Drosophila melanogaster: one gene and its partners. The protein of the gene in region 1 interacts with the protein of each later gene in a pairwise test. Each region holds a gene or a part of one and is shown in the gene's direction. Other genes may lie near its edges.

What was found.
Region 2: the proteins of insb (region 1) and CG15036 interact in a two-hybrid assay, tested with the Drosophila melanogaster proteins (one large-scale study listed by BioGRID).
Region 3: the proteins of insb (region 1) and CG42733 interact in a two-hybrid assay, tested with the Drosophila melanogaster proteins (one large-scale study listed by BioGRID).
Region 4: the proteins of insb (region 1) and CG17855 interact in a two-hybrid assay, tested with the Drosophila melanogaster proteins (one large-scale study listed by BioGRID).

The regions. Positions count from the first base shown.
Region 1 is NT_033778.4:17,472,666-17,480,605, reverse strand, and holds insb (insensible), read left to right. Parts: upstream 1-4,333; 5' UTR 4,334-4,639; coding exon 4,640-5,170; 3' UTR 5,171-5,392; downstream 5,393-7,940. Other genes in the region: veil, read right to left, coding at 18-274, 339-489, 547-782.
Region 2 is NC_004354.4:7,421,037-7,428,426, reverse strand, and holds CG15036 (uncharacterized protein), read left to right. Parts: upstream 1-3,584; 5' UTR 3,585-3,614; coding exon 3,615-3,833; 3' UTR 3,834-3,900; downstream 3,901-7,390. Other genes in the region: CG32726 (uncharacterized protein), read left to right, coding at 2,701-2,748, 2,815-2,949; rumpel, read right to left, coding at 6,905-7,154, 7,217-7,390.
Region 3 is NT_033778.4:10,353,343-10,361,046, reverse strand, and holds CG42733 (uncharacterized protein), read left to right. Parts: upstream 1-4,246; 5' UTR 4,247-4,348; coding exon 4,349-4,559; coding exon of another isoform or gene 4,560-4,570; exon of another isoform or gene 4,571-4,670; coding exon 4,671-4,753; 3' UTR 4,754-4,876; downstream 4,877-7,704. Other genes in the region: CG43396 (uncharacterized protein), read right to left, coding at 320-708, 762-834; CG43397 (uncharacterized protein), read left to right, coding at 5,375-5,497; CG12902 (uncharacterized protein), read left to right, coding at 5,815-6,009; CG46298 (uncharacterized protein), read right to left, coding at 7,142-7,531.
Region 4 is NT_033779.5:9,535,974-9,544,779, forward strand, and holds CG17855 (uncharacterized protein), read left to right. Parts: upstream 1-4,549; 5' UTR 4,550-4,670; coding exon 4,671-4,725; intron 4,726-4,779; coding exon 4,780-5,085; intron 5,086-5,144; coding exon 5,145-5,290; intron 5,291-5,344; coding exon 5,345-5,602; intron 5,603-5,660; coding exon 5,661-5,774; 3' UTR 5,775-6,507; downstream 6,508-8,806. Other genes in the region: Oatp30B (organic anion transporting polypeptide 30B), read left to right, coding at 22-876, 939-1,353, 1,420-1,571, 1,640-1,769, 1,832-2,681; Cpr30B (cuticular protein 30B), read left to right, coding at 6,974-6,985, 7,056-7,505; CG13113 (uncharacterized protein), read left to right, coding at 8,202-8,806.

The DNA.
Region 1 (7,940 bases):
ATTTGAGCTATACCCACTTGATGGACACGATTTCCTCCTCGTACTCCACTTTGTTCCGAAAGGCAAGCACCTTGGTATCGGGCGTAAGGTAACCGATAACGCCAACCTTCACCCCATTTCTCTCGAGGATCGTCGAGTTGGCCAGCTGCTTGGCAGCCGCCATTTCCGGAACATCGGTGAGGTTCAGATTACAGGCCAAAACAGGGAATTCCACGGCATTTAGGAAGGGCACCAAACCCTCAACATTCTGATCAAACTCATGGTTGCCCAGAGACTATTGAAAGGTATATTGATGAAATATAGTAAGAGAATGCGGAAAACAATAAAATAATAGTTACAATAGCATCTGGCGATAGCTTGTTGAGGAAAGCACTGGCGATCTTGTCCTTATAGACGGTGAACCAAGCAGTTCCGGTATAGGTGTCACCTGCATTGAGATAAAACACTGGAGTTCCACCCTCCTCCGCCTCCTTGCGATACTTTCGCACCCTAGTTGAAGTTCATCAGCATGAATAGTTGAACTCTAGGCAAACTGACCGCACTTACTCGTATGCCACCCTGGCGAATCCTCCGTAGCACTGATCCGTATTGGCCTCCTCCTTGGAGCAGGTGCCACTGGTCACACTCGTCTGCTCGAATCGGGCGTGCATGTCATTGTTGTGCAGAATGATGAACTCGGCGGCAACTTCCGCCCGGGGTGCAATGGGATTCGGCTGCACAGGATGAATCAGTAGAGCCAGTAGGCAGCATGATCCGATAAGGAGACCACGGGCAGGTAACATTTTGGTGCTGGAACAATAAACACAACAATCGCTGATAAGTTATCACACACGAAGGGATGAAATGTGGGTGGATAATCTTCGGTGAATAAGCACTGATTCGCGCACGGCAACTGGTTTGTCATAATCATTGTTTTTGCACTCATGAAAATCTAAAAATTTTAATAAAAAATTAATGCACTGCCACTTAATGAAGCGTGTTTTAAGTATTAGTTCGTTTTCTTATCCGAATGGTTTTACACATGTAATGGAAACACTTCAAACGTTGTTAACCAGATTTTCTACTTAGACTGTTGAAGGTCCTTTTCGACCTTATCACCAATCCACTGCTGAGAGGCAAATATTTATCAATCACGAGCGCGCAGAAATCGCAATTTATAGTTTATTGGGTGTTTTAAATCTAATCGCCGCTTATCACTTTGCGTGTGCAAAAAAAAAACACACAAATCCCCAGCACATTCTGCTCGACAAATTTCTGCCATCGCGGTCCACTTCACTCGGTCAACTGGTTTTCGATTGAACTCGGAAACGAGCTCGAACTTCAGCTTGCTCATGGCATTGGCCTAAAAGCTAACTCGGCTCAAAAAGGCCCGATCGATGTTACTTCAGAAGCAACGAATTACCAAATACCAACGATCGCTACTCACATGCACTCGTCGCACGGTCCGCGGGCTAACTGACTGACCCACCAAATTGGCTGAGAGTGCGAGAACCGTTATTAGCCGAAAACATAAAGCCGAGTACCTTAAACAGCAAAACCGAAATTTACTGCCTCGCGAAGCGGACTGATTACGATAAGGCCTCGTATTGCGATTGCGGGTTAAATTGGCTGAGAATGACAATGCGATGCTCTTTCTGCATTACCCCATTGTATTTCGATGTTTTGGAAGCCATCGGAAGCAGACATATCGCGCGATAATCGTCGGTTATAGATCAGATAATGGTGAATTGGCTATATATTTATCTGACTCATAGCCACTCAGACAGAGGCAGGTAGTTGGCCCAACAGTTGTCTAAACACAACGTGACATTCCCACGCCGAAATATGGATTGTACTAAAAAATATATACAGTGCACGCTCGCTACGGAGAATTTACATTCGGCGTAACTCTAGCATCAAACAGCATTTACTTGTAAGTGATCTAAACACATGAATCAAAGATCACGCATTCGAAAGGATATTTTTGGAATATCTATATCTGTAATTAATATTTGCACTTTTGTTTCATAGTAAAACATTTTCACTGTCACGAAATTATATGCAACATGGTTGCTTACCTATATTTAGAGTATTTACTGTACATGTTTATTGACGCACCATTAACAACAGTCCGCCGATTGTGCCGAGTAAGCCGATCTTTGTTATTAATTTCCCGAAAATTCCAAGCAAGTGTCTTCTGCGAACTTTCAGGCACATTCGATTGATGAACAATGAGGCCTGCTTGTTGCACAGATTTATGGCCGCCAAAATGGAAGGATAGATAAATATTGGAAAGATGAATTTCACTCAACAGCCGCGTAAATTACTTTATGAGTTTACTGCGAAGTTCTACCCACACGAAATGATCACAATTGCCGGGTTTTGGGCCACAGTTCATCCCCAAATTATCCGCTGCCACTTGTCGCGTGCTTCTCAAACTGTTCAATCATATAGTATGTATAATGGCTCAATAGACACACGACAGCTGCGGCTGTGGATAATGTATTTGCTATTTACTATTTGCTGCCTGTGTTCGGGCAAATAACTCAAAAACGAAAGGGAAAGGTACAACTTTCCTGCTCGAGATGTCGCCTAAATATATCCGAAAGATACAAGATACAACAGCAATTGAGTTGGTTCGAAAATAAATAGAAGATGCTTCGGCCAAGTTTAACTGAAATGGGGAGAGGAAAACCAGCACGCAATATTACACAATGTCAAGTGTACGATAAAAATGAGATAAAAATAATATATATGATTCAATTTTGATACGCCCTTAACAACATCAAGTGCTTATCAAGTAAATAATGTGTACACACACCATTGCCGACATACTAAATGCAAATATCCAATCCATCCATATCATAAGTTCACAGACTTGACGTCTGGGCGTGATTATTTAAATGCCCCTTCCGAAATTGCGAAACAACAATTCGCTGAGATAGTGTCAAATTCGCAGCCCCAAATAAATCGAATAATGCCCAATTTCCTTGACCATAAATAAACATTTATTGCTATCAATGAGATTGTTTCTTTTTTTTTTTCTTGGGACAGGAGATTCTTCATTTATGGTGTCATCTTATATTTCAGCACTCCCCCCTTCCCCCTTCCAACAAACCCAAAATATAAATCCCTTTATTTTAAATTATGGTCATGATTACACAATGCGCGGACATAAACCATAAAGCGAATTATGTTCATTCCAAATTTTGACAGCATTATCGATTAGCATTTTGGGACCACTCCACCTTTACTACGTTAACAATCGGCAATAAAGCCGATAAGAATTGGTTCTCCATGCCAACGGAGGTAAACGTGATTTCGTTCAAACTAACTCATACCGCATACCAATTTCCATGACAACGAAATTCGAAAATTTCTCGCAGTGCTTTTAGGTGTGCACTTATCATTGCAGTGGCAGGTCAAACTAACTCGCAGGGGAAGTGCCGATCGAAGAGATGAATGTGAAGCGTGCCAGCTGCAAATGCTTATCATGGTCGGGCATACCGCACTGGGGAATCTCCTACAAATATGCACATTAAACGAATTTTGTATGCAAATACGAAAATCTATATTCGTAAAGAAGCATCGTGATCAAAGTTCAAGTGATCAAAGTTCACAAACAAAATTTTAGGTAGCTTATTGGTAGAATACAATGCTTAACGGATACGTTAAATATTACCTAAATAGCTTAACTGTCTAACCTGAATAACTTATTCTTTAAGTGCGTCAGCAGTGCACGTTTTGCCAAGAAAAGCAATTTAAGCAATTACATATATCGGTCGTTGTTCGCTAAAACCAGATCGAAACTCATTTGAAATCAACTGAATTAAAAGTCCAGATTCGTTTATTTGTAGCAATTAAGTTAATTCGTCATTAAATTGACAACTTATACATTCAAAAAAAATTCATGAAAATTTATACGCTCAAAACTTGATTACCCAAGATTGTAAGGTATTGATAATTTATTTATGTCTGCTTTAAAATGTAAAAAAAAGAAAATTTGATTAAAATGCTTTATTTTCGCACACACCCTTCAATGCAACCCTATTAAAAAAAAGGACATAGGAAGGTAACTTGGGAATCGGCTATGCCGCACCGAAAGGAAACGGACACGGGACAACAACAACTGAAAGGTCGGAAAGGACGAGCAGGGCGCGCCTGTGATCCCGGGGGGATGGGGTGCAGGACGGATGCACGGAGGAAGGGAGGATATTCGGAGCGCGGCTGCTGCAGCGGCAGAGAAAGAGAGAGAGAGAGAGAGATAGAGAGAGAGAGAGAGAGAGGTAGAGAGAGAGGCAGCGCCAGCTGAGGGTTGCAATATCCTGCTGCTGCCGTTCAGGCTGTGGCCTGTAGCCAGTATCCTGTTGCCCTCCCGCTTCAGCTGCCGCAACTCAAACAGCTGCAACAATTTTTTTTTTTTTGGTTGCCGATGGATTGTTGTTTTTAATTTCCTTGGCGCGGCACATCCCCTAATGCCACTATCTCTGGTCCCTGCCGCATTTTGGGGTTGGAGTCGGCAGTTGCCAGTTGGTCGCCGGGGTGCAGTTGGTCGCAGCTCAGTCGTGGCGATCGCCAGGTGAACGAAGGTTGTGTCGCGCAGGAGCGAGTTGGAAAACCAAACGATTGCAGCTTAAGTCTAGTAGATCATCCTCTAAGCATGTCGGGCAAACTGATCATGAAGCGCAAGCGAGCCAGCCAGGAGGAGCAGCAGCAGGCGCAGGAGCAACGTGTCCAGCCGCAGGAACAGCAACAGGAGCAGCAACCGACTGAAGCGGTTCCGGAGAAACGCCATCGTCCTCTAACTCCACCAGCAGAAGAGCCAGGGCAGAATTGCCCCAACCCGCCAGATGCCCCCAATCGAATCCTTCTGGAAGCGCTGCAAAAAATAATGGAGCTGCAAGCGGAGCTGGATGCCTTTGAGCAGGATCTAAACGATCGAGATGGCTATGCGGCTGCCGGAGCTGAAGCGGAGGATGTTGAGGAAAGTGACGAGGATGCCGAGGTGGCGGCCCAGTTTGCGCCACCGACGCCAGCCCAAAGGAGTCAGGCGGAGGCACTGGGTTTTGCCATGTGTGCCAGAGAAACATTGCTGTTTCTGCAGAGCGAGGGAATACCCACGGAGTCGCCACTCTACCAGACTCTCCTTGGGAAATTGGTTGGGCAAAGCGATGGACTTCTGCACGCCTGAGAGCAAACCGGAGGGCAGGAACTCCTCCTCATTCTAGTCACTTTGCTGCGATCTCATTGCAAGTAAAACGAGAGAGAGAAACCAAGGGTTGCGAACTTTCCGGGGGTGGAAATTATGCAACACAGGGATCTGGGTATTCCTAAGCTATTTACTCTAGTCAATTATTGTAAAGCAATATAAAACACATAAGCAACAACGAAATAAATTATGTATATTGAAAGTAAAACATAAAGGAAGAGGTTTTAATTAAGATTGGGGGGTTCCATCCTAGCTGGGAATAAAAAAACACTCTACTACATCGATTTTCGATACATTTTAAATATATTTATTTATTCATTTAGTTATTACTTGTGTTATTTAATTTTACATATAATAATTAATGAGAATAACTCAATCGCCATATATTATTTCTTTGAATTCATTTTGTAGGTATGTATATCATATAAGTGTATATATTCTTATTGTTGTTAGGGCGGGGTGTTTTTGTTGTTCGGTTATTTCATTAACTTGGTATCATAAATTATCTGGGGGCTTGGGGAATCGCCCTAAAGTAGCATTTGTTATAATTTCATATTAGTTATCTGTATAATTTGTAACAACGATAATTATTTGTAATAAATGGTTGTAATTCCTTTGTATTATCTGTATTACTGATATTTCATTAAAACTAGATTTTAATTGTTTTTAACAATTTAACGTTTCACATGGTTGTATGTAAGTAAATGTTTCTTAAGGTTTTTGGACAAGATATCGTTTTATTCATCTTCTTATTCGAATTCGAGTATATGTTTATTTCATTGCGTTAGCAATGCCAACTTTATTCGCTCGATACTCAAATTAGGTTACATAAATATTAAAAATGATAATATCTATAAATTGGCATTTCAATTGGTAATTTCAGACCGGGAAGGGATCCGTCCATTGCCATCCACTCCCTCCGAATCCCTTCCTACAAACATTTGGCACACTCTCTTGGTTCTACTTAAGCTCTACAGAGAATTCTCATTAATCTAAAAACTAACTAAAGTGAGAAAACAGGAAACGAAATTTTGAGTTTTGGCAACGGATCAAATTGTCGATTACGAGTTATGTTTAGTTTTGTTACTTTTGTTAGTTCAGTGTATAATTAATGGAGACAACTGGACAAAGCAGACGACTCATTTTTGAACAATTGAGGAAACGAAATTTTGGGTTAATTACTTTGCTTTATCCAGCGTCATGGGTTAAATGTGTTAAGTACATTGAATTACATTGTTATTACGTTAATTTTGTATTGAGTTACATTGTTGGTTTAGTTAGAACTTTATATTCGTGTATAAGTAAATGGAGTATTTGTTATTCATACGCTTACGCTTGCGTTTAAGTATTCTTTTTTACTCTGTTATTGTTTTCGTATCTGGTGTTTTAATAAAGTAATCATTTGCAGCACTATCCACTTATGGACATTGTTTCACAATAAACTTGTATATATTTTGTAATTTGTTAGTTATTTGTAGTTCTTTAGTATTCGATATATTAATTCTGAATGCTCGAGTATTAGATAATTTTTGTTAGGGTTATTCTGTTACCTTTCGTGTCAACATGGGGTTAGTCGATCTCTGTTAATTATGTAAATATTAGAATTTGTAAGTGTATATATATATATTCTTTATCTGTATCGTTAGTTTTGTTAAATATATGCATATATAAATAAAATTATGGTTTAAGTGTGCCCTCTGTATTTATTATTATATTCTATTAAGTTAATTAATCTCATAGATTCTGTCTCTACCGACCGTCAGTCGGGTCCTTCTTTCCCTATACATAGCTTTGTCTTGCTGTATCAACTGGATTCGCTCTGTATCATCTGTACGCCAGACTATCCCAGCTCAACTTTGAGCTGAGCCGTGTGCTTAACTACTGATCACTCCCGACCGAATACAGCTCCCACTAATCATTCAGGCTCTTTAGTATCTTTAAGATGGTTTGTAAATAGAGATAAAAAACTGGACACAGTTTCGTCTGTGTTTTATAGCCAACGCGAAAGTATGGTTTTCGATTTGTTGATCCAGCCTCATCATCATTAAACGTTAATCCTTGCACGCAAAAATATATGTATAAATATATTTGTTATGTATATGTTTTGTATGTGGTATATATCGTAAAGTTCATTTTGTCCATTTTGTAAATACTCCTCCTACGCCTTCCTCTAATCTTATGAACTCAAGTGTACAAAGTTTCTGTGATGTTCATGTTGATGTGATTTTTCGATTTGCTTGTTCTGCTTGTAGTTCTTGTATCTGTTGGGTTCAGAAAAACTGCACGGGCAAGAACGGAAATGTGCCAATATGTAGCGAAGGATTAGCAGGTCTGTAAGAGAATGTTAATTTGGATTTAGAGAGATGTTCTTGTCTTTGATTTGCGGTGTATAATCGAAAGGGTTTTTTTTGCGTTTTCGGATCAATGCAAATCAATACGGGAACTTTGACGGATAAGCGGAGAGGTATATGTATGTTAGAAGCAAGCAAGCGGATTCACATAAAGCCCGTGTATTCATTTGCATTGTCCAAAGACATCGATTTAGTGTGGGTTGTGTGCAAGGACGAAGGAGTTCTCTTCTGCGTTCGATAATATCGCATTTCAATACCTTACTAAGAGCATATTGGGCACTGAAGCGGTTGTGGTGGTGTTGTTGCTGTGGTTTTTACTGCCTAATGTGTGATTGTTGATATTGTTGCTGTTGGCACTCTTTTGGCCATCCATTGGACCAAGTCGATAGGAGGATATAAAT
Region 2 (7,390 bases), on another chromosome or scaffold:
GTCGTTGTCGTTGTCCTGCTGCTCTTCCTGCTGTTTTGCTCCCTCTGCTGCTACTGCCGTTGCTGCTGCCGTTTGCAATTGTTCGAAAATGCAAATTTTGCAAAAGGATATGCCCATGCATAAATGCTGGGCTGCCGAAGGGGAAGGGGGGGGGGATGTGTTGGGTTCCAAGGGGCCAAAGAGGCTAAGAGGCTAAGGGGCTAACGGGCTAACGGGCTAAGGGGGCACACGGAAGGACTCTCAGGTCCTCCGGCAACGACAGCAGCCAGAAGCCAGACACGAAGCAAACATATTTCATGCAGTCTCAATTGGAATTCTAAATCAATCAGATTGAGACGACGCCGCCGTCTCCACTCAGCTAACAGCTAACCAGTTCAGTTCTGTGCCGTTGGGCACTGTTGTTACACAGCGGCAAAAGTTGGGTAACTTTCATTAATTAAAATATACACAATATTTCATTTGCGATTTCAATTGATCACAATAACTTGTTCTTAATATTATATTGAGCATACTAATTAATAATTTGATGAAGCATTCCCACATTGAAATTTTGAAACTTTTCGTTTCGCATAGTGTTCAAAATTCGTAGGACTCTGTGCATTAAGTAAGACACAAATCATAATCGTATGCGTGGTGGGAGCGGGGGAATTCCGGGCGAAGGAGTGGTTATATCTAGGTGCCAGCTGGGCAAGGATCTGTGGCCTCGGCGTCGTCCTCGTCCTCGTTTCCCGTCCTGTTAGGAAATGCAAAATTTCAAATATGAATTGAACTGATATATTAATGGCCACTTGAGTTGCACTCTCTTCAGATCCTGGGGACGTTTGTCAGCCAAAAGTAACTGCAGCTTCCTGGGGGAAATTTCGAAAATGCGGAAGGGATGATGAGGTGGCTGTTGCTGGTGGTATAACCTGCTCGGTGTTGGCATTTATAAATCAAAATTTTGGGCCAACAACCTGCAAACATACGCACACCGAAGGACATTCTGCATCCGTGTATCATTGTATCTGTGCTTGTGTAATTGCCAGGACCTGGACTGCATCCTGTTTTGGGGTGGGGGCTGGCGGATTGGGGATTGGGGATTGGGGTTTTGGGGTTCTGTTTTAAGGGGGTGCCACAATTGCAGCAACTTATCTCTCGCCTGCCCATATAAATAATGACAAGCACGACGACAAATAATAACCAAACGCACACAGGACATGCCGCAGGACAATAGGCCTGGGAGAAAAATAGGGTCGAGGTAAGGACGACTACTGTCTGTGAGTGAGTGTGCATAATATGAAAATTTATGTGCGGAAAGGATTGAAAATAAATTTATGAATTATATTGGTTAGAAAATTGCATCTACTCAAGGATATCCTTAATGTCTCCAGGATATGCATGTGTTCAGCTAGGCTTGCTCATTGTTTTTGGGGCTATCTGTTACATTCAACAATGTCCTGATTCAATTTATTGTTTGTTTGATTTGCATTCTGACCGGAGACACTCGCCAGATATGTGCCTGTATATCCCTCTATAGTCGTATATATAAAGTCCTGCGTCCTTTGTGCCATTTGATTAGCGATAACAGCTGCAATTTGCGCCGAAAGTGCTTTTCGAATTATCATTGACAAAAATAAGAATCCTAAAAAGTAACACACGCAGCCAAGGCTTATCGTAAAAATCCAATAAAAGTGGGCCACAGAATTCGGTTTGGGGACTTTTATGATTTTTTCCCCTGTTCCTGCTGACATTTGGTAGTTTATGACTGGATTTGGTTTCGATGCAGAGAGAACAAAAAATAATTCAGTTCAACACGTTTTAACTTTATGCGTACATAATAATAATAATAATAACATTAGTATCTGCTATTTGTATATCTTTTAAGCATTTTAAAAGGAATTTTAGTGTTTTGATATAAGATTTTATATTTGAGATTGCTTGCTTGCTATGTAGCAATGTTTTTTTTTTCAGTGTTGCAAATATGTCAAAGTTCAGTAACCGTATTCGATGGGGGATTTTGAGTAAGGTAAAAGGAACTGGTCATAAAACTTTCCCGACACGTTTATGCCTATCTGGGTTGTGGATCTGAAATCTCAATGCCAATCCAAATATATATCCACATTCTGTGGCAGTTCATCAAATGCTCGACGACAAGTCACGAGCGCTGCAATCTGGAGTGGCTTATGGCATTAGTTATTAGTTGGGGGGTGGTTGGTATATCTGCTTATACAGGAGGATACATTTCATTAGTCAGACATCACAGGCGCATTTTACAGAGACGTGTTTCACTAAGAGACCATGTGAATAAAATGAAAACGGTGTTTGGTACTTTTGGTAAAAAAAAAAAACAATCACCAAAGGCATAAATATTACATATCTCTAGTTTCTCGAAACTTTTAAAATCGCTCAATAAAATTCTATTCGCATTGGAATAAACATTGTTACCTCGACCTAGACCCAAAGAATTAGGTTCATTTGAACTGCAACCGATTCACAGTTGTATGATCGAAAATGAGAGAGCTCCAGTGCACATGATAATTGCAGACGAGTTGAAATAATGTTATTACAAAATCAACACCTCAATTAGATATTTAATGTGACACACCAATTACGCAAGCAATTACAAATATACTCTTAATATATTTGTTTGAAATCGGTTAAACAATTGGTGGCCCATAAAAGCGAGGTGTTCGAGGCCAATGTCAATCATTCCACATCAAGATGCGTTTCTGTCTACTGTTCCTTTTGGCCATGAGCTGCTGTCTGCTGGTAACTTAAATGCTCGATAACATTACAGATTGCGCATATTCGAAATATTCGTGCCCTTTATTCTAGCAATTCTCCGTGGCTGGAGTGAATTTGGTGCGCGGACTGGAGGCTGCCGGTCATCATCGCAACTTCACCGGCTCACCACCACCGCGTGGTGCTCCTCCACCACCTCGGACCACCACCGCCAGTTCTTCGGGTTAAATAAATTGAAAGCAAAACACGAGAAAACTGGCAAAATTTCCATTGACGGACGATTTAAATGAAACCTACCATTATGTAATCCTATAGCTTCAAAAAATATAGAAAAACCATTCCAGCAAAAAAAAAAAAAAAATAGTTCCAGTGTTTTAAACCACAGTTTTAGTAAATATTCGTTTTTATTTATTCGTAATTGGCAATATATCTATCTTATCTCGTTTTAAGATACTGAAATGAATTCATTGAAATATAAAATTCTACATTTTGCACAATTTGCATCATTTATTATCTAAAATCTCTTCGCTTTTGTGAGACTTTCATTATTGATATGTAACGTCTGAAACCATTTGGCCGGACTTCCCGCGCGGCGATTAAAATCGGCATTAATTTGACAAAAGTTCAACGACAAAAAAAAAATGAAATTAAAGCTATCTGATGTTGGAGAGAAAATACAGTATACATATATAGGCTGGGCCATACCCTACATGGCCCATGGTCAGAGGTGAGGCTGCAATTTGTGATCGTATTTGTTGATACAACATATCCAATTGTCCGTCGTCATTGTGGCCAATTGAATGGAGCTGCAAGAAAAGCGAACTATAAAAATGAATGGAAGCGCCGTTGAACACAATCAGTTGTTTGGGGGAATTCTCGGGCCGAGGATCACGATGAGGCAATCCATAAAGCACATATTCGCACTGTTGGTTGCCCTGGAGTGTTTAAGCCTTGGCGACACGGCGCCCATCGGTGAGCATCCGGATCATGCCGGATGTATACGGATAACGATCATCAAGCGACCATTGGCCACCACCACCACCACGACAACAACAACAACTACAACCACAACAACCACTACAACCAGAGCAACAACCACGGCCGCTGGTTAAAAAGGAATATTCTAAATTCAACACAAACAATTTGTAGAAATACACTTAGCTCCTCTGATCAACGCTTAAGAATAGTTTCCAAATCTTATAATCTATGGTTTAACAGTATATATCCAATTGGTTTCTTGAATACCATACTATTTTCGAAATTCTACCTTTATCGCAGGGTAATCTTCAATTTATTCTGTTGAAAACGTTGTAATGCCCATTCCTGCCACTTTTCAAATGGAAAAGGCATCCGAAATCATTGCATACTTTGCGGCAGACACTCGAAATGCAATTTCAGCCACGCCCACTCCCCAAGGTGATGTAAAATGGGCTAAAACGGCTGTGAAAGGCCACCGCACAATGCACAAACGAAGCTGCCGAATATAATTAAATATTTTATCGCATAAAAGTGCCAAAAATGAAACGACAACAAGAAAATAAGCAGCCGGCATGCGTTTTTCCATCTGGCTCCTCTGACCATTGTGCTTTGTGTACACTACAAAAAAAAATATAATATTCCGTATACTACAATTTCGAATCATAGTATTCAAATAAACTTAATTGGATAATTACTAACAGCAGCAAAAATAGTTTTAGCCTTTAGTTATTCAAGCTTTAGTGGTAGTACTTATGTCTTAAGTATTTCGATGGAGCATTTTTTTCAGTGCTTTTGGCTATATGTGTGGTGCACAGGTAGAGACCACCCCTTCGTTCCTCTGGACCTTCACTTGTAACCCCTTTTGGAGCTCTTCTAATTCTATAAGCTGACATTGTTTTGGCAGGGAAAAGATTGAGGGAAACTCGAAGGGGAAGGGGATTGTTGGAGGAACACATGTTCCCCGCAAACAATAAACCCGCAGCTCGGAGTCCCTCTTTTTCGACCACTGCATTTCTTGGGTCTCTTTTAGATGAAATCTTTTGGTCAACAACAACATCAGCGGGCCATTGTTCTCGCCTTCCATTCTGTAGTGGCTGCTTTTTTCGACAATTTCCATATGAATTTTAATTATAATTTTTCTATGCTCATTTTCATGAAAACAATCAAAAATGACTTTTGTGCCGCTTGCCCGCCCCTCCCATCACAAAAAAAAACAACGAATGTTGGTTGAGGGGCTAAAAGGAGCTTGAGGTGGGCCCGTTGCAAATTGTCACTAGCATTTATATGGCCACCAGGCATCTGAAAATTAGGAAACGGAACTACATACGCGAAGGCTTTGTTTTTCGAAAATTATTGCATGGTAAAAAGTCCAATAGTTTATATACCCTATAATTTCGAAATATAGTTGAAAATTATAACGTATACTATTATATAAAAAAAATATTTGCTGACAGTTCTTAAAGCGAAAAACTGCGTGAGAAAATATTATATATTTGCATAAAAGGCAAGAGATTTTGCATAGAAATAAAGCTTATTATTTATTTTAACCATTATATTTTAAAACATATTTTTACAAGTTAATGTCTTGAATCTTAACATAGGGTTCGATCAAATGGTTCAAATGGTATGACTTTACTCACAACAAAAGGGTAATGAGATTGGGATGAGGAGCAAGCAAATTATATTTGAGCATAAAAAGTAACACAAAAGCAACACGGCGACATAAACAAGTTAACAGAGCGAGGAGTTGTTGGCTTTTGTAGTTGGCAGTTTGGCACGTTAGCGCTGCCAGCTTCCGTTTCCTGCCGTGGCCAAAAAACAATCCACCCATATGACAACTGTCGCTGTGCCCCCCTTGGCCTGGCCCCTGACCATTAACCCCTTAACCCCTTAGCCCTTAGCCCCTAGCCCCATAACCCTTAACCCCTGTCACTGGCCATGCATACAGCATAGTTTTTGAATATACCGCGAGATGGCGCACCTGTGTCATCTACGCTTTTGTCCAGATTTTATAAAAACAAAAAAAAAAACCAAAAAAACTAAAAACCAACACACAGCCCGGAAACTGTCATTATGCATTCTGATGATATTTTCGCCGCCGTCTCTCCTTTGTAGAAAATTATTTTTGTAGTCGGCTAATTAAGAGACAAAAAACCATGGGAGTGTGTTGTACCTGTATATGGCAACATACCATATGTCGTCTTCATCATCGATAAAAGTTTTGAAGCAAGTAAGTAGATGAAGGAGTTGCACAGACTGAGGCAAAAACTAATTTCGCAAACATTTGTCAGCTCATTAACAATTCAATTTGCTGCATAAACGACCTAAGCATACAAATAAAGATGGGCGTTTTGTGACCCCAACGAAATAGTTGGGCCCACTCGGATGCAGACTGACCGACCGAACCACACATGAAAAGCAGTAAATATTCAATTAACGGCACAGGGTAAAACTAATGTGAAAACGGAACCCTTTGGGTTAGCCACACCCCTTGTTGGGCGCCCCCACCCAACCCACTTGACCTTGGCCAGACAGAGTTCACTGCCCAATCACTTGTGCCTGGCACTTGAAAGCGGAACGAAACCCTTACTTGAAACAGGGGTTCTCTAGTTCTGGTCATTTTAATAGCCGCTCGCTCGCAGAGTATTAGGGTATACTAGATTCGTTGAAGAGTATGTATTAGAACATGTAGAAGAAAGCGTTTTCGACCCTGAAAAATGTATATATTCTTGATCAGCCGAGTCCGTCTATCTGTCCGTATGCACTTTGTGATACTTGCTATGCCGAACATTTTCCGATCAAGTTCTGCAAGTTCTTAAGCGAATCGATAAGAGTATAGAAATCTTCGACTTTGTAAGCAGCAATTTGTTACCCGTAGTTTTTTCTTCCTTGTGATTTTCCGTCTATTTGGGCAGCCGGCGTTTTGATTTGTCGGGTCAGGTTATATGCACCCAGACCTGGTCCTTTCTGCACTTGCCCATTTTTCGAAACCTGGGCCATAACTGCGGGCATTTTTCTAATTACAGAGAAAGCAGCACAGGAAACTGCTTTGAACCCATTTCGTACAGGAGGACACAGGAGCCCAAATAATTATGAATTGTGTTTTATTTTAAATATTTGCTAAGCTACCGAAAGGAACTTTGCCAGGATGATGCCGGTCAGCCTTCTACTACTCCTTCCCCTTGAACCGCCATGCAAATCCCCTTTACGTTTTCGTCTCCTGTTTGTTGCTGGATTTTTGACCAGAATCTGGTATCTTTGATCGGCGATGGCGACGTCGCTCTAACCAGCGTCTCACAAATGGTGTGAGCAGACGTGTGTCAACTCCATCCAAATCCGTCTCCCGGAGGAGGAGACTTGTGACCAGTGCCACTACAATCGTCACCAGGGCTCCAAAAAGCGTGAAATAGAGATACGATATGCGATACAGCTGGAAGGGAGCACTTGGAACGGAACTGCACAAAATAAATTAAGAGGGTTTAACGAAAGTCCGATTATTTTGTAGATAAATGCTTACCTGATGGCACCATCTAATGCCAGGCTGGCAAACTCGCGTGGTTCTCCGGCAAACGTATAATTGCAGCCCATCGTTGAATATGGTTTCCTCTTATAGACGAGATCACCGGTGACCAGATCCCGCTGGGCACTTACACACATCCAGGCCATAACAATAAGTGAACTGAATCCTCCG
Region 3 (7,704 bases), 7.1 Mb from region 1:
GCTCCGCACTAAAACGCAACATAAATAATCCCAATTAGGAGGCTCTTCTTCAATGAAAGGGAAATAACCAATTATAGGCTTAACGCAAAAATGGCTTTTAGTTATTAATAGGTATTAAATGTATATTAATCAAATATGGATCAGGAGGATATCAATTTGTTTTACCCTTCCTTTAGTTATTCTCTTGTGGTTATAATAATTTGGTTCATTTGTTAATTATCTTTGTTTAATGGTATAACGTCTCGTTCTTTTTTTTTCTCGTTCCCCTAGTTTTTTTTTTGTGGTTATAATTATTTAGTTCATTTGTTAATTATCTTTGTTAACATATCTCTTTAATGGTATAACGTCTCGTTCTTCGAGTTCGTTTAGGTCTTCTAGTTTCTCTGGTAGATGGTGAAAATTCTTCTCTAGGTGGCTCATAATGTTCAGTAGTTGTTTTAATTTCCACCTCTATCGTTGCACAACTGGCTATGGTTGTTTGAATTTCTTTCGTTTTTAGTTGGGGTTTTGTTGCGGGACTCAATATGACTTTCTTTTTTTTCTTTGACTTTTTAAGGCAATTATCTTGGCACTCTTTTTTTGAATATCCATCTAAACAATGAAGAGCCTCTACACATTTTTCTTTTCTAAGGACCCAAAGTGAGCGCAGCGGTGAGCACATCATTCGATACTTTATTAGCACCACTCCCAAAGTGCAGTAGTTTACATCTGAAATTGGGAGTAATGTACAACCTTAAAGCACCAAAAAAAGCGGAACTCACCAGGATCCTTTTTGAGGGATCGCACAATAATTGAAAAAGTTTGAAACAAAAACACACCTGCTGTATTTCTCATAGCTAACTCAAGAACACTGTGATGCTTTTATAATTCCTGTAAAATTGCAATTGGTCTAGCTTTTTAATAACACGGTTTCTCAAGTGTGTCAAATAGTTAGTTAGTTAGCTTCCACAAAAAACACTATTTGGCCTATAAAACACAGAGTTAGCTTTTCTTTGAAGCATTTGAAACTTAAAGCTGAGGAATTATGGCTGGATTTCATTTTAATTACGGTGGCATGTGCATAGCTAAATGGGCAGTGTTAAACTCCATTAGTACTAATAAGGTCATTCTCATACGCTCTAATGATGGATGAACACTCATTTATGAGGAGGAATTTACTTTCGCTTTTGCTTTGTTCATCCCCATGCCTTCCCTATTCACAAATTGACTTGGATTGCCGTCATTTTAAAGCGTAATAAATGTTTGGGATTACATGTGCAGCTGGTCGGACATTCAAATATTTTCTGCTTTAAATTACTTTTTAAAGAAAAACCACAAAAGCTTAGATGTATATGAATGCACTCAAAAAATCTATCTGAGCACTCAAAAGCATATATTCGAATAAGTGGAATCCTAACGTTGGTTTTTATGACTTGTTCCGCAAATATCTTTAACTATAAACCAATGGTTTTTCGGATCTTCTGTTTGCTTTGGTAGATTGCACATCTTTATTTGAGGATTAGAAGAATGAGACCTCCGTAGTAGTGGTTTCAATATGCGCCTCTTCTGTTGCACACATGGTTTTTATTTTGGCTGTTCTGTCAGGATTAGGACGTGTTTTTGTCTGGGTTTTTGTATAGATTTTAGGCATATTTTTCAATCAATTTTTCATTGATACCAAGTTTCCTAAGCCTTTCAAATAAGCTGCAATGTTCAAGGCATACAGGATTATATGGTTAATGTTACAATATTTCTAATAGTTGGATCGGACATTCCTTACACAGCCTTCTGATGATGACAACCTTCTGACAGGCCTTATGCCGGGGAACTAACTTTCGTTTCTTGTTTGTTAATCCCATTGTCATTATGGAGGAGATACTTTTTAATATTTGGCAATGCAATTAACCAAATGGAGTGGTTCATGAGGACCAGCTAATGATGATGCGGAGGGTTCGCCCATATTCCAGTTCATTGGCTTTTATAATTAAGTTTCGGGTACGCAATCACTTAGAGTGTTTGGAGTATTGGGGCAGACGACGCGACACTGTATTCAGACCAAAACAAATTTATGCAAATTTCGATTAATTTATTTTTGACACAAGCGAGAGGTTCCCACTCCTACAGGCTCGTTAAGGAGGCAACTCGCCTGCTAATTGAACGGAAATCTCGAGCTGATGACAAGAGAATTGGTTCATTGCCGGCAAATATGTATTCGCGATACGAGCTGATTGCAGCCGATCAATCAATCAATTTGCCAGCAAAACTTGACTTTGGATTCGTGCATAAGGAATATCAAAGTAATGAGAGCTACAGACCTAAGATCCTTGAAAATCGGGACTTACCCAAAGAACTTCCGCCATTTCCTGCCTTTCCCAAGGACATTGGGCGGCATTTTGGGGAAGGGACGTGGACATGTCGCCCAGAATGCGGTTCATATTTCAATTTCCGGAATGGAAGGAGCATTTCAGCTTTCAAGCCATGGTCCTCCGTTTGCGGACAGTTGCCACTTTGTTGCTGCCTTCAGTCAGTTGGGAAGTTTTTCACATTTCACATTTTTTGTTCAAAATTCTATTTCACTTTAAATTTGATTGATACTGCGGAAGTTGGTTTGCGCCCTCGAGCGTATGGCTCTCTATTTGATTTAGCTTTGCCATTAGTTTGCTTTTGTAATCTCGGGCTTGCTGGGATTAAATGTGCTGCTATTTCTTAAGCTGTTTGAGTGCCGAGTGAATCATTATTATTAATTTCTTTGCCTTGGCTGTTGAACCATCCTAAGCTAAATATGGTTTTCATATATATGTGGTTTATGTACTGTGGCACTCTTTTCTGCTTTCGAAATCACCAAGAGCTTATTGGTTTTTTATTCTAGCTATTATTTTTAATGCCTTGTTAATAATTTATAATTTCTGTAAATACTATTTTGTATGAAGTGCAGAAAGCTCCCAAACATAAACACACACCACAGAACACTTTTATAAAATCAATTCATATATTGTATCTGTAAATTCGCTGTGCTTTTCCATACGCTTCATAATAACTCATGCTTTCGATGCCAATAAAAACTGAAATCGACCTGCAAACAATGCGAAATACCTTACAAAATTAATAAAACTATTTGTGAAAAAAATGAAAACAATTAAAACTCCCTCAACAAAAATAATCGAAACATTGTGCACAATGACTCGGCGAAATTCAACGGAAAATCAACCCAAAAACAAATAACGAACCATTGAACCAACCAATTGAAATTATTTCTGCAATCAACTCGTCATAACATCCGCCACCCACCCACAAAACAAAACCAACCCACCACCACCCGCAGAATGTCAATGTTCTTCTTTCGATTGCATAACCTGCAGCGCGCCGAGGAGAACAAGCGCAAGAAGCGCGTGGAGCAGCAGCGCCAGCAGCAACGCCAGCGGAGGGGGGCCAAGGTGTTCAAGTGTGTCAGTGATTCCACCGGCCACCTGACCTTGGCCCCCTCGCGCCTCTTCGAGCGCACGCCGATGAGCCCCTCGGACAGTCTGGACGAGATCGCTCTCCAGATCCCCAGGTGAGTGGAGTCGAAGGCGTGGCTTCGATGGTTGGGTTCTCCGATCTGCGGGTGCCATCGAGTTATGCTCAACTTGATAAACACATTTAAGTAAAATGACAATACAAATGATAATTTATAAATAATTTATCTTAAAGAAGTAGAGTATGGTGCCTATACTCTGAATTATCGATTGTCATTAGGAATGACTTAATAATATGTTCCCTGAGTCCTGCGCAACTATTTATTTTAAAGGGCTGTTTATAAAAGAAAGAAATATTGAGTGAAGAACAAATTATGTAATATTTATCAACGTTTTTTGCCTTTAGATAGAAGCATTTATTCAAAGCATGTAAAGTGTTGGACTTGACTGCACCAAGTGGTGGTAAACTACTTTTTTCACAAGTGGGGCAATAAAGGATTTCATGGCTTACCTCACCCATTCGGTTTTATCTGCTGCTGAGTGACAGCGAACTAGCTTCAGAAACTTGGGCACTCTATGGCTTGTGTGGTTTGGTGCGGCTCTGGTGTAAATAAATAAACCAAATGGGATTTTTCAAGTCACTTTGAAAAAAATGTGGTTATGTCAAGAAAGCTTTACAACGAACATATGTTACATATGAAATAGCTGAAAATTCATTTTACTCTGGATATTATTCTACAGATTATTTCTTGGTTATTAAGTTGCCGAATTTAGAAAGGCTTTTGGCCGTCAGGCAGGCTTTGCTATTCCATCCATTCTATTTCAGCCTTATCACATATCAAAATTTTAAAAATTTTAGGTTTCCAAAATTTGTAAATTTTATACCCCGATTAGCTAGATTTTTATTCCCTAAGATGCGGATGCTTTGCGACAGACTCTCCGCCCTGACGGCTGGTGCCATGGTCGGCGTTTGGTACGCCCAGAACTTCCCCTGCGAAAATCCTACGGATGGAGGCGACAAAGATAAGGCCAAGGACAAGGCCAAAAGCACGGATAAGGGAAAAGAGAAGGAGAAGGATAAGGGGAAGGGGAAGGATGGTGGCCAGGACAAGGGCAAGGAGAAAGGCAAGGAATAGGGATAAGAAAATAGCTAAAAAGGGGTGGAAAAATCACACCATTTAGACGATACAATACGATACGTATGTGCAAGTCCTCTTAAACGAATTTCTCCTCTAGTTAGTCCAAAACGTACTAGTAGACATGAGCAAAACTCCAACGTCGACGATGCAATTGGCTTGAAAAGGAAAAGTTTGAAGTAAATGGCCGCTGATAACGCTTCCGAAAGAGCTATGTTTATATGGTTTTATTATCACATGCTCTGAAGCAGATGTTAACGATTTTGCATTTAAATAATTATACGAGAATGCGTATTGTATCATCTTAAACATCGTATCTTTAATTTTTGGGGATAAATGTCAAATGACAATGGCTTAAAGCTCGCTGCGTAAATTCGTATTTACTTATTTTGGTTGTGCCCCCAACTGATTTGAATTTCGCACAGTGCTGCATGCGACAAAAGTACGCAGCGATTTCAATAAAAGTTGCTCACCGAGGTGGTGTAATGGTACTCTAATTTCGCATTTTCACAGCCCAGGGACACACGTAATCCCACCTAATTAAATTGTCCTTTGAAATCGTTCGGTTAATTAAGTGCGCGCCAACCCCAATAATTTATATTGTGTAGAAAGTGCTTCAAAGCAGGCTGTGAGATTTGGGTTAATGGGCTTTGAAACTTCGTGCCGACACTTTTCAGTTATCCGTTTTGGCCACAGCAGCAAACTTCCATGAATCTGGAAAAATTCAAAATTGTTGAAATTTAAAAAATCATTTGTTGTTCTGAGGACACCGACGTCTTCCTTTGGTTATCATCTAGCAACACCATGCATTTGATGTGCGAGCGATTGTCTGCGGTTTTTGCGGGCGTCCTAGTGGGTTTGTGGTACGGTAAGACCTTTTCCGAGGACGAAAAGCCCAAGGAGAAGGGCAAGGACAAGAAGAAGTAGACCGACCGATCACTCGCAAGACTGGCAGAAATCAATACGATCTTCTTAGGTGCGTATCTATTGTGCGAAAATGAGCCATAAGCCGCAAGATTATGTCTTTGATCTAGTAGTCGAGTCGGCAAACTTCGAGCCACTTCAACGTCCTGTCAACGCGGCAGCTCTGACATAGCTCAGTGTTTATTTGGCTTTACAATCAGTATATCAGACTTTCGACGTACACAAAATTTATAACGTGTTTGGTTTTAATTTAACATCCATCAGACAGCGATTCCAGTTTTGGTCTAAATTGTGGCAAATCCTGTCGAGCTTTTGCAGCCATGCCCTGTTGTAAGCGTACCGAGGTCCGCAGGGTGTGCCGGCCGATGCCGTCGCTCCTTGCCAGGCTCAACTGTACGCCGTGCAACCGCGTCCTGTTCTTCGTCATCGGGGTGGGACTGGGCGTGCTCTTCGTGCGCAACAAGGACGACAAGTCGGGCGGCAAAAAGAAGGACGAAGGCAAGGCCAAGAAGTAGGACTGACCGATCTGCCATGCCCGGCGGTAATATCAATCATCCAAGCCTGGCACTAGCTAATTGAACCTGGACTCATCATCACCCATGAAGTTACCCAACCGTTTGCAGCGTTAGCCAGGGAAGACAAAATGCCATTCGATAAGTTTGTCCGCCGATGAATGGAATGGAGAGGAAATTTCTCAGTCGATAAATTTATCTAAAGAGCAATTTGTCAATCGAACAATTAACTGCCACATTTAATACAGGTTTATTCGATTGATCTATTCTCTATTATATATTCCTCTGTTGAAAATGCTATAAAATTGGTGCTGTACAAGACTTACTGTGTTTTTAATATGGGCTCATTATTCAAATCTGTGGGAGCAATTGTTCGCTAAATGTTTGTAAATAGTACTTTAGTGACATGATTTGATTATTTCATTAATCGTCCTGTAACAAAATTTGCAGAGCACCTGATCGACTTCCTTATTGATCTTGATCAAGAAACGCGTTCTAATTCTTTTTCTTTTAAACGAAACTACGAGTAACGAGTTATGAAAATGAACATCGAATTTACCGATAACTAAGTGCCTATTACAATTAAAAATTGCAATCTTATGCTTTGTATAATAATTAAAGTCTGATTGACCAACCACAAATATTCTCAAATTTTTGTTGAATAACTTTAGATAAATTTACTAATTTTGGGTCCTTGCAGAGGGCAATACATTTGGTGTGTATTCATTGTACAATTTTTAATAGAATATCAACGTATTAGAAAGCCTTAGCGGTAAGAACATAGATCATGATCATATCTCAAAATCATCACGAACCCAAAATGTAAATTTCAATTTTCGGGTGATGTATAATTTTAAGCCTGATATGGTTATCCAAATTTCGCAAAGGCATTTCCTCTCTCCAGTTAAATATCCCATCCGATCTTGTTACTTGATCTGGAATTATAAGGGTGGACACTAGATAGTAAATAAAGAAGCCTTCCATCAACGCGGCAATGGACTGACCAATAGTTATCGTTAGGTATGCCATATAATGCACTTGAAAATTTTGAAGTTTAGAAACGATATGGATTCGATGAGAATTTTGGGGGAAAACATCCTGCTCCTTGACATGTCCGTTTGGGGGTCTATAGTCGTTACTTGCCCTCCTTGCCCTTCTCTTTGCCCTTGGCCTCCTTCTCCTTCTTTTCCTTCTCCTTCTTTTCCTTCTCCTTCTTCTCCCTCTCCTTCTTCTCCTTCTCCGCCTTCTCCTTTTCGGCCTTCTCTTTTTCCTTCTGCTTCTTCTCGCGCTCCTTGGCCTCCTTCTCCTTCTCCTTGGGCGATTTCGCGGCCTCCTCGGCCGCCTTCTGGGCCTCCTTCTTCATATGGTCCCAGAATAATCCGATGCCCGCCCCGATCATGAAGAACACAAAACGGTTGCACGGAACGCAGTTCAATTTCTGCCACAAGGTGGGCGGCGGGCGACAGGGAGGCGGTGGCGGAGGACAGCATCGCGGAGGCGGGGGGCAGGCGGGCTTGTCGCACATCTTCAAAGGATTATGGATTAGATGTCCGCGCAATCACAGGGTCCCTCTAATAACGTGTTAATTTTACGCCAAAAAAAAAATCAGAAAAATGATGTTAGCCGAATGGGAAATTTAGAACAGTGGGGCCTGTGTTGCCTTTGGATGTGAGTTAAGTATTTGACGTTTATTTCGTA
Region 4 (8,806 bases), on another chromosome or scaffold:
AACTCTATTGATCTCTTGCAGCTCCCGGCGACAGACGTTGGGTGGGAATGTGGTGGGGCGGTTTTCTGCTATGCGGAGTCATTCTGCTGGTGGTGGCTGTGCCCTTCTTCTCCTTCCCCAAAGTGCTTGCCCGCGAAAAGAAGAAGATACGGAAGAGCAGCGTAGTGCAACCAGTTTTGCCGAACAACTCTAGAGCCACTGTGGCGACGGATGAGATGGGCAAGGTGAAGAAGCTGGAGATTGTGGCCGTGACCAGCAAAGAGGACCAGTCGCAGGCGCCACCCAAGGTGGACACGGGCTATGGAAAGGACATCAAGGATATTCCGCAGTCAATGCTGCGTCTGGTAAAGAATCCCGTATACATCGTGACCTGCCTTGGAGCCTGCATGGAGCTGATGATCGTCTCTGGTTTCGTGGTCTTTCTGCCCAAGTACCTAGAGACGCAGTTCAGCCTGGGCAAGAGTCAGGCGAACATCTTTACTGGCTCGATCGCTGTGCCTGGAGCTTGTATTGGAATCTTCCTTGGAGGCTGTATTTTAAAACGATTCCAACTAAAGCCCAAGGGTGCCGTCCAATTTGTCCTGATCACGAACGTCATCTGCTTGGCCTGTTATGCGATGCTATTCTTCCTCGGTTGCGACAATCTTAAGATGGCTGGCACCACGATTCCCTACTACACCAGCAACAAGCATGGATCTACTTTGGAGCAGCCTTTCCAGGTCAACCTCACAGCCGCCTGCAACTTTGGCTGTGAGTGTCTGACCAGTGAGGTGGAACCGGTGTGCGGTAACAATGGACTTACCTATTTTAGTCCTTGCCACGCCGGCTGCACGGCCTTTTCATCCACATCCAACACCAACTACACCAATTGCGCCTGTAAGTTTAATGTGACTTATATAAAGTATACCTGTTATATTTATATAATTTGTATGTTATAGGTGTTCGCGCTAACATCTCGAGCAGCATTTATCGTGGCGCTGGTGGCAGCCAAGCCCAGGCTCTCAGTGCTAACGAGAACTTTGCCGAGGTGACGGTGGTTCCGGTAGCTACTGCCGGTCCATGTGCCACGCCTTGCCGCACTATCTACCCGTTCCTCATACTGCTATTCTTCATGACCTTTTTGGTGGCCTCTACGCAGATGCCGCTGCTTATGATCGTGTTGAGATCGGTATCCGAAGAGGAACGTTCCTTTGCCCTTGGCATGCAGTTTGTAATATTTCGACTATTTGGATACATACCGGCTCCCATATTGTTCGGAAATCTAATCGATTCTACTTGCATTCTCTGGAAGTCGTCCTGCGGCGAGAAGGGCGGTCGCTGTCTCATCTACGACATTGAAAAGTTCCGATACAAGTATGAATATATCATAAAATATATGAATATATAAGTTTTATTAACATCTATTTCAATTTTTTTTAGATATGTTGGGCTGTGTGCATCTGTAAAGCTGATTGCCTTGGTTATCTTTATGGTGGATTGGTGGCTGGTGCGAAGGCGAAAGCAGCTTGAGAAAATGAAGCCGCTTAACGCCAGCGATCCAATAATCGGATCCATCATTAGCCTAGACAAATGTATGTTTATTATCGAAATTACTAATTATCTATATCTATATAATTATATATATATCTATCCTTTTCAGTATTTGAAGAAAAGCTGTCGGGTGCCGAGCCGTCTACTGCATTTGTTGGTGGTGGAGGAGAGCTGATCATACCCACAGATATACTTCGTCATTCCCGCAATGATTCACGCACCATGCATATGGATTATTGGTAAGTCCTATCTCACATTTATACTCAAGGACTATGGTCTTAACCAAATGTCTTTCCTGCAGCTACGACAAATGCGGTCGTGTGGTAACACCGGCAAACACCTGCAACCAGCCACAGACCAAGTCTAAGAAACACTTCCGTAGTGCCTCTTGTGACGTGAAGATGATCAAGAGCTTTGCTCGAGATCACAGCTCATCTAGCGGACCTGCGGATGCGGCTGGTCAGGATGCTGTTGGTGCCAGCACAAAATACAAGAATCTCAAAAAGTTCCAGGCGCACACGCGCAATCACTCGACAGACCTACACGACCCCAGTCAACCCATCCGATATATTCAGAACCAACTTCGGCCGCAGGACTGCCCCGAAGAGGATGATGACGAAGAGCTGACCACCGGATGCGGACACTTCGTTAAAAAGCACTCTCGTAACCACAGCTACGACCAAATCTACATGCCCAATAACATACGCTTCGATGCGGACTTCCTACGACACCCCCATTCACATCACAATCCCAAAAAGAATGTGAATGTTTTAAAGAATGTGGTTTCGGATGTGGGCAAGCTAAAGAATTCAAATGAAATAGAAGCTGGTGGAGCTGGATCACGTGGACATTCCCGCAACAACTCGAAGGACTTGAACACCAAAATTTCTAGTGCAACTCCTGCTTCGGGTCAGGTAGTAACGGATGCCAGTACCACGGGCCTAAGTGTGCTGAGACATCGGCGAACCAATTCCAAGGATTTAAATTATCAAGTGCTGCCGGAGTCTGCTGCCTCCAGTTCGGTGTCAGGGCACGCTCATCCTCAGCACACGCGAAACACGTCGCACCACAAGATCCAGATCGATGACGATCGTAACGAGCTCATCAACGATAACGATGATGAAGAGGAGGAGCGTTCCGCGTGTGCTTAGTGCTAGGCCATGTAGCTATAAGCTAGGATTTTCGATTTGTGGCAACATCAGCAATGTCTCCATTCCCGGCGGCAATCGCCTCATCGTACTTTGAGTGTATGTGGTTCATGCCCGTTTCCTGATGAAGTGACTCGTCCCTCAGCTGCTCATTGTACTTACGACCGAGTGTTCAAATCTACTAATAGAAGGCATCTGAAAATAGAAATCTTTTGATATATACAACATTCAACCAGAATTCGAATCCGAGTCAGATACGATTACGAATCCTTGCAGATAATATTTATGTAACCAGGCGATAGAATAGAAATCCTAGAAAGCAACTAGCATATTTTAAGGTAGGAGTAGATCGTTGTGATAGGAATATTTTGTATTGTATTTTAGTGGAGTGTAGATTAGATCCGTAAAAAGTCGATTAAGTGTTTGAAGTCTGCTGCATACGTTTCGCTTTATTTCGACTTTATGCAATCTCGGTTTCGAAGTTTAACGATTGACTGAGAATCAGTTGGCGAAAGAAAAGAGAAACGAATAGCGAATTACAATGTTTTAATAATCCGAACATTTAACCATTGTCAATGGAAATTGTGCTGTGAAACAATTTGTGAGTATAGAAAACAAAAATTAACGAAAACGTTGAATTAGAAAGAAAGTGAAAATACGCTGAATGTAATTCTTATGCAAATACATCATTTAGAGAATCTTTGTGGACAAAATAGCGATGGGTTCGAATGAAGAATAGGTCTGGAATAGTTTTATGAAAAATCCTAAATTCCCTGTTTTAATGGTAGCGAGAAAATCAAGTGTCTAGCCTAGATTTTAAAACCGAATGATGTACTTTAAATGCGATAATGCCTTAAAAATATCAATTAAATATACACGCGGATAATATCAGTATCTCAACTGAAATGGGAATTCAATCGATCCATCCGGTTGTTTTCCTACGCACTGCCCGAGTGCAAGACCCCCAGTAGTCCTAAGTGATGCAATCTAGGTTAATTAGTAGCAACTATTTCTATGTTTACACCAACCAGCCACATACAGTAGGAAAGGAGGCAGAGAGGAGCTCCTCGAGCACTAAATAGATACATCCATATAAGAAATATATGTATACAATTGTACGTTAATAAGTACCTACGCGTAGCTAATAATTCGTATCGGGATATGTGTTTGTACAACATAACTTATACATTATTGAAGAGCGATTTTAAAACGGACTACAGAAAGTGAGTCTTAGGTGCAAAAGATCATATATATATATATCATATATATGTTTACTCAAAAAGTGTGTTTTAAGGAATACATATTTTTACTTAGAGAAATATTGCAAATAAACTAATAAGGACATGTATGAAATGAAAACAATGAGACTCCTAAAATGAAAAACAAAATAAACCAAAACTGCATTAAACAAGTCAATTTGTTTTTTCTTAAAAGACATTATTTTTAACGAATTTTTTAGTTATTTGAAATTTTGGCACAGTGGCGCCCCTACAAGATGGTACTCGAATTAGGGAACTACATAAATGGTGTGACCATGATGTTTGCAAGTATCTTATATCCAAGACACAAACCTAACGTACTTTAAATATAGATAACATTTTTATTAAAAATTTTTTTATAAATTTGGTTCACCATATAATATTTAAATTAACATTGTTATTTAAGCAACAAGACGAGCAAGAAATAATTAATTTTTAACGAGCCTATCTTTTGATTAGCATTTCTGATGATTAATACAAAAAACTTTTTCCATCAATTTGGGTTCCACATAGGTAAAAAAAATAATAGTGTTAATTAAATTGTTAAGACTTAAAATTTGATCGATTCTATATGTTCGTAAGCAATCGAATAACTTAACAAAGTAACTCTGCCAGCGATATCCACGCAATTCAACTCGCTGATAGCTTATCTTTACTGTTTTCAGCAACAAAAGATTTTTCAGTAGCTGAGTAATTTTTACCACTACGAATTGAAGTAATACAAATCGAACAAATGGAGAAACGTGCTACATCTACCATGCAGGTTCTCTATGCAGAACTGGCTGCCGGTGCGTATGAGCAATGTCGTTGCGTATACGCCATGTATTGAAACTCCTTTGCAGCAAAGTCCAGAAGTGCGGAGCTGGAGGAGGAAAACATTTTGCTGCGCCATCGACTAAATCGCGCATCTGCCAGCCACAGCACCAATGCGGCCATAAATGTGGAGGCCAAGATCATGGTCTTCCAATTGGAGGAGGAACGAGATCGTCTGGTGGAAACACTGCAGAAGCACAAGAAGAAGTACAACAAACTGCATGACGCTTATCTGGAGAAAGTGAAACGTTGTCGTGCTTTGGAGGAGATGTTTAAACGGCAGAAGACGCTTACAGGCTTGGTAATGAAGTCCTCTTTAGATCAAAGAAATGCAGGTGTGTTAGGAAATGGAATTTTTGCTTAAAATTAGATCAATACTCTAAAAATCTACTAGAGCAACGAATGGCTATGGAGAAAAGGCAGTCGGCCCAAAGCGATGTCAACGAATTGAACGAGCTGAAGGCCAAAGTAGAAAAACTTCAAAGAGCCCTTGATGAGTCATACGACATTATTGACGAAATGGATTTTGAACTTGAGAGCGTAAGACGCTTTAGAACGTATTAGCAAGCTTAAGTAAAAATGATTCGTTTAAAGGTGGAATTACTGGAAATGCAAAACCAATCCTTGCGGGACGAATTAGCCGCTTTTAAGGCAAAATCAGAAGAAGGAGCGACCAGTCTGCCGGCCTCGCTACCCAACGATGACGACCCACCGCCCAAATATGAGGAAGACTATCCCGGACAGCATCATAAAGCTATGCAGGCCCGGCGCTGCTCCTCTAGCAGTGAATCTGACCCCAAGGATGATGATGCCGACGCAGAAACTATGGAAAGAGCTGCTTTAACCCATAGCGTAAGCTTTAATCCTAATTCTCATTAATTATATATGTCTGATTGTTCCTTGTATTCAGCTCATACAAACTGTGGAAACAGAGAGCAATGCCCTAAGACGGGAATTGTTGAGATCCCGCTGTCAAAGAACAATTCGCGCCAAGTTGGAGAAAGAAAGCGAGCCTGTTGATTAGGATAAGTGGCGGGATTAATCTTATCACATAGCTCCCAGCCAAAAACTAAACAACCAACCAATAGATCATAATAACAAGTAGCCATACTAAAGCTGATGAAACTGATCACTAAGTTTACGCACAGAGAGCAATAACTAGACGGCTGGACTAACCCAGATTCCGAACCAACTACGCCTAACCAGTGCACATACCAGAATTTGCTTTTAAGGTTCGACAAACACGCTCGGCGGCTGCGTTAAATCAAAACTTTTGCGATATAGTAACCCGGTTTCTTGGACTGCGCGCAGAGAAACCCCTCGTCTAATGGCGATTAATTAAATTATTTGCTAATGCCATCAAACGAGTTGCGGACAGATCACCTGCCAAAAGGATCTGGCCTCCGAGCTGTGAAGGTTCCAGCCCCCGACTTCTGCCCTCCCATCCCATTTCCAATTCGACGTGGTGCGCTATCCATTAAAACATGACAATTATTTTTATGACTTAATGCAGTCGGAGGCCTTGTTGCCCAATGCCTAATGTTGCAAATTATTGACAAAGTAAATTAATCTCCACATTTGTTGGTTGGACCAGACAAACTAGCGCGACACCTCTAAGATCACCATCAAGCTCTCCCACTTGCGGCATATTCATTTGGATGCTTATCGAATGTGCGTCGCAAAAGAAAAATCAAATGCGTCATGGGTAAAAAAACTACAAGATTTTATAAATTTAAGTTTTAATAAAAATATTTTTTAAATTTCTTTATTTTGGATTCGGTGGATTTAGAAATTTCTTAAAAATATTAAGTGAGTTTTACGTCGTTTTCATTAGAAAAGAAGAATTAGGAGAATGGAATGGTTACTATTTCGTTCGACATGAAGCCTAACTTGGTTCCTAATTTTTTGCAGTGCATGGCTCAGGCTGGTGCGAACCACATTTTGCATATTTCTTGTTTAATTATAATTTTTCGGGGCTCACTTAATGAGCGCGCTCCACTTGGTCGGCGATCTTGTTTGGGAGGCGCGTGCCGCAAAGCGACACGACGCCTTGGGTGGATTGCCACATCCAAGTTGGATCGAAGCGTAGCTCTGGCCTGGTAATCAGTTGGCCAGCTTGTATATAAGCAGCCTAGGACTACCCAGATTAATTACTTCGATTTCGATCTTTGTCGAGTGCATTTCAATACCCAAAGAGTTCTGAAAGGACCAAAATACCACAAAATGATGGGAAAAGTGAGTGGAGTGGAGGAAAAAGGGTGCGATACAAAGGATTCTAATGCATAGAGTGGTGTCTTCCTTTTAGGTTACCTATTTGTTGTGCCTGTGCCTGGCCAGCGCCGTTTGGGCCATTGAATTGCAGGCGGAGCCGGACTACGGACCAGTGGCCTACGAGTTCCAGTGGTCGGTGAACGATCCCCACACCGGCGACATCAAGAGCCAAAAGGAGTCCCGCAAGGACGACAAGGTCGAGGGTGTCTACGAGCTGATCGATTCCGATGGCTATCGCCGCATAGTGCAGTACAAGGCGGATGATCACAACGGTTTCGAGGCAATTGTCCAGCGTGAGCCCACGGACATCAAGATACCGTTGCCTGAGCCACCCAAGAAGCTCCTGGCCGCCAAGATCCTGACTCCCGTGCTACCGGTGGCGCCACTCGTCCACTACGCCGCCCCCAAGGCCATTATCAAGCAGGAGCTGTCCGCCGGGAACTATGTCTCTGTATCCGGACCAACAGCACAGTACAAGTACTAAAAGGATCTAATGACTGACTTCAGCTGCATAAACCCATTAGGAAACCCGTCTTGACCCGGGAAAACTCACTGCCATACATCATAATTTAGTTACAATTAAGACAATTGAGTGTACATACAGACAGCTTACATTAACCTACAATAAAGATGCATCCCATTCAATCTGTTCGCAGAGGAACACAAAAACTTGGATTTTTTAATATAGGGAATATACTTAAAAGCTGGGTGAGGGTATTTTATTGATATAAAAAAAAAAATGAGTAGTTGAGTAGTGGTTGTGTTGCAAACATACTTATATAAGTGTGAAGATCAGTTAAGAAAAATATAAGCCAAGTGAAGAAAAACCACATTATGACAGTTCACAAGTGTGACACAAAAAAGTGAAAGATTATTAAAACCAAAAAAAAAAAGTGGTGAATGAAATGCTTGACTTAGTTCAACTCGCTTGTGTGTTTGGCTTCTTCAGTGAATTCGTATCATTATATTTGCGAATTGATGTCTCATAAAATGATGCGTCACGATACAGGTGGCTTCGATACTGTGATAAGCATAAACTAATGCTATCGCCGCCAGACGCGACATGGCCCATAGATGCCTCTAATCTCACGTAGCTGCTGCCACTTTGGGGGCGTCCAATTACCGGCGCAGTCGACGTCGTCGATGGCGATTCTATTGGATTTGGCTAACGCTCTGACCAATGCATCCATGGAGCATCAGTGCGAAAATGGTCGGCTGCCCGGAGACACGACAACTACTGGTCACATTGCTATTGACCCTTGGCTTCTGCCTGGGGGGAAGCTCAAAGGATACAGTTGCGGATGCGGATGCCAAGTGGATGGCTCCACTTAAGCAGTATGGGTATACGCCGCAGCATCTGAAGAACAAAGTGGAGCATGGTGAATTCACCACCTTCGAACTGGGCACCCCCAACTACCAGATTCTCAATCCCGAAGACGAACCGGAATACATAACTGCGGATCAACCGCATTATCAGGAGATGCTGAGGCGACTTACCAGTGGTCGTAGTAAAGCTGACACCATTGATGTGGAAATGGCAAGTCGCACGGAAACGGTTCGCGAGACTTCCGATCCGGGTCAATCTAAAAAACCATCTCAAATTCAAGTGCCAGTTAAACCGAAGACACAACTAAAACAAAATCGCTGGGAGAAACTAAGGAAGCGCAGCTCCATCGAAAAAAGACGTGACCACAAGGAAACCATGGAAACTGATGTGCGGGATGATCAAAGTTTCTTCCCTGATATTCAGGTTTACCCCGGCTTACCCTTCCAAAGTCGTGTAGC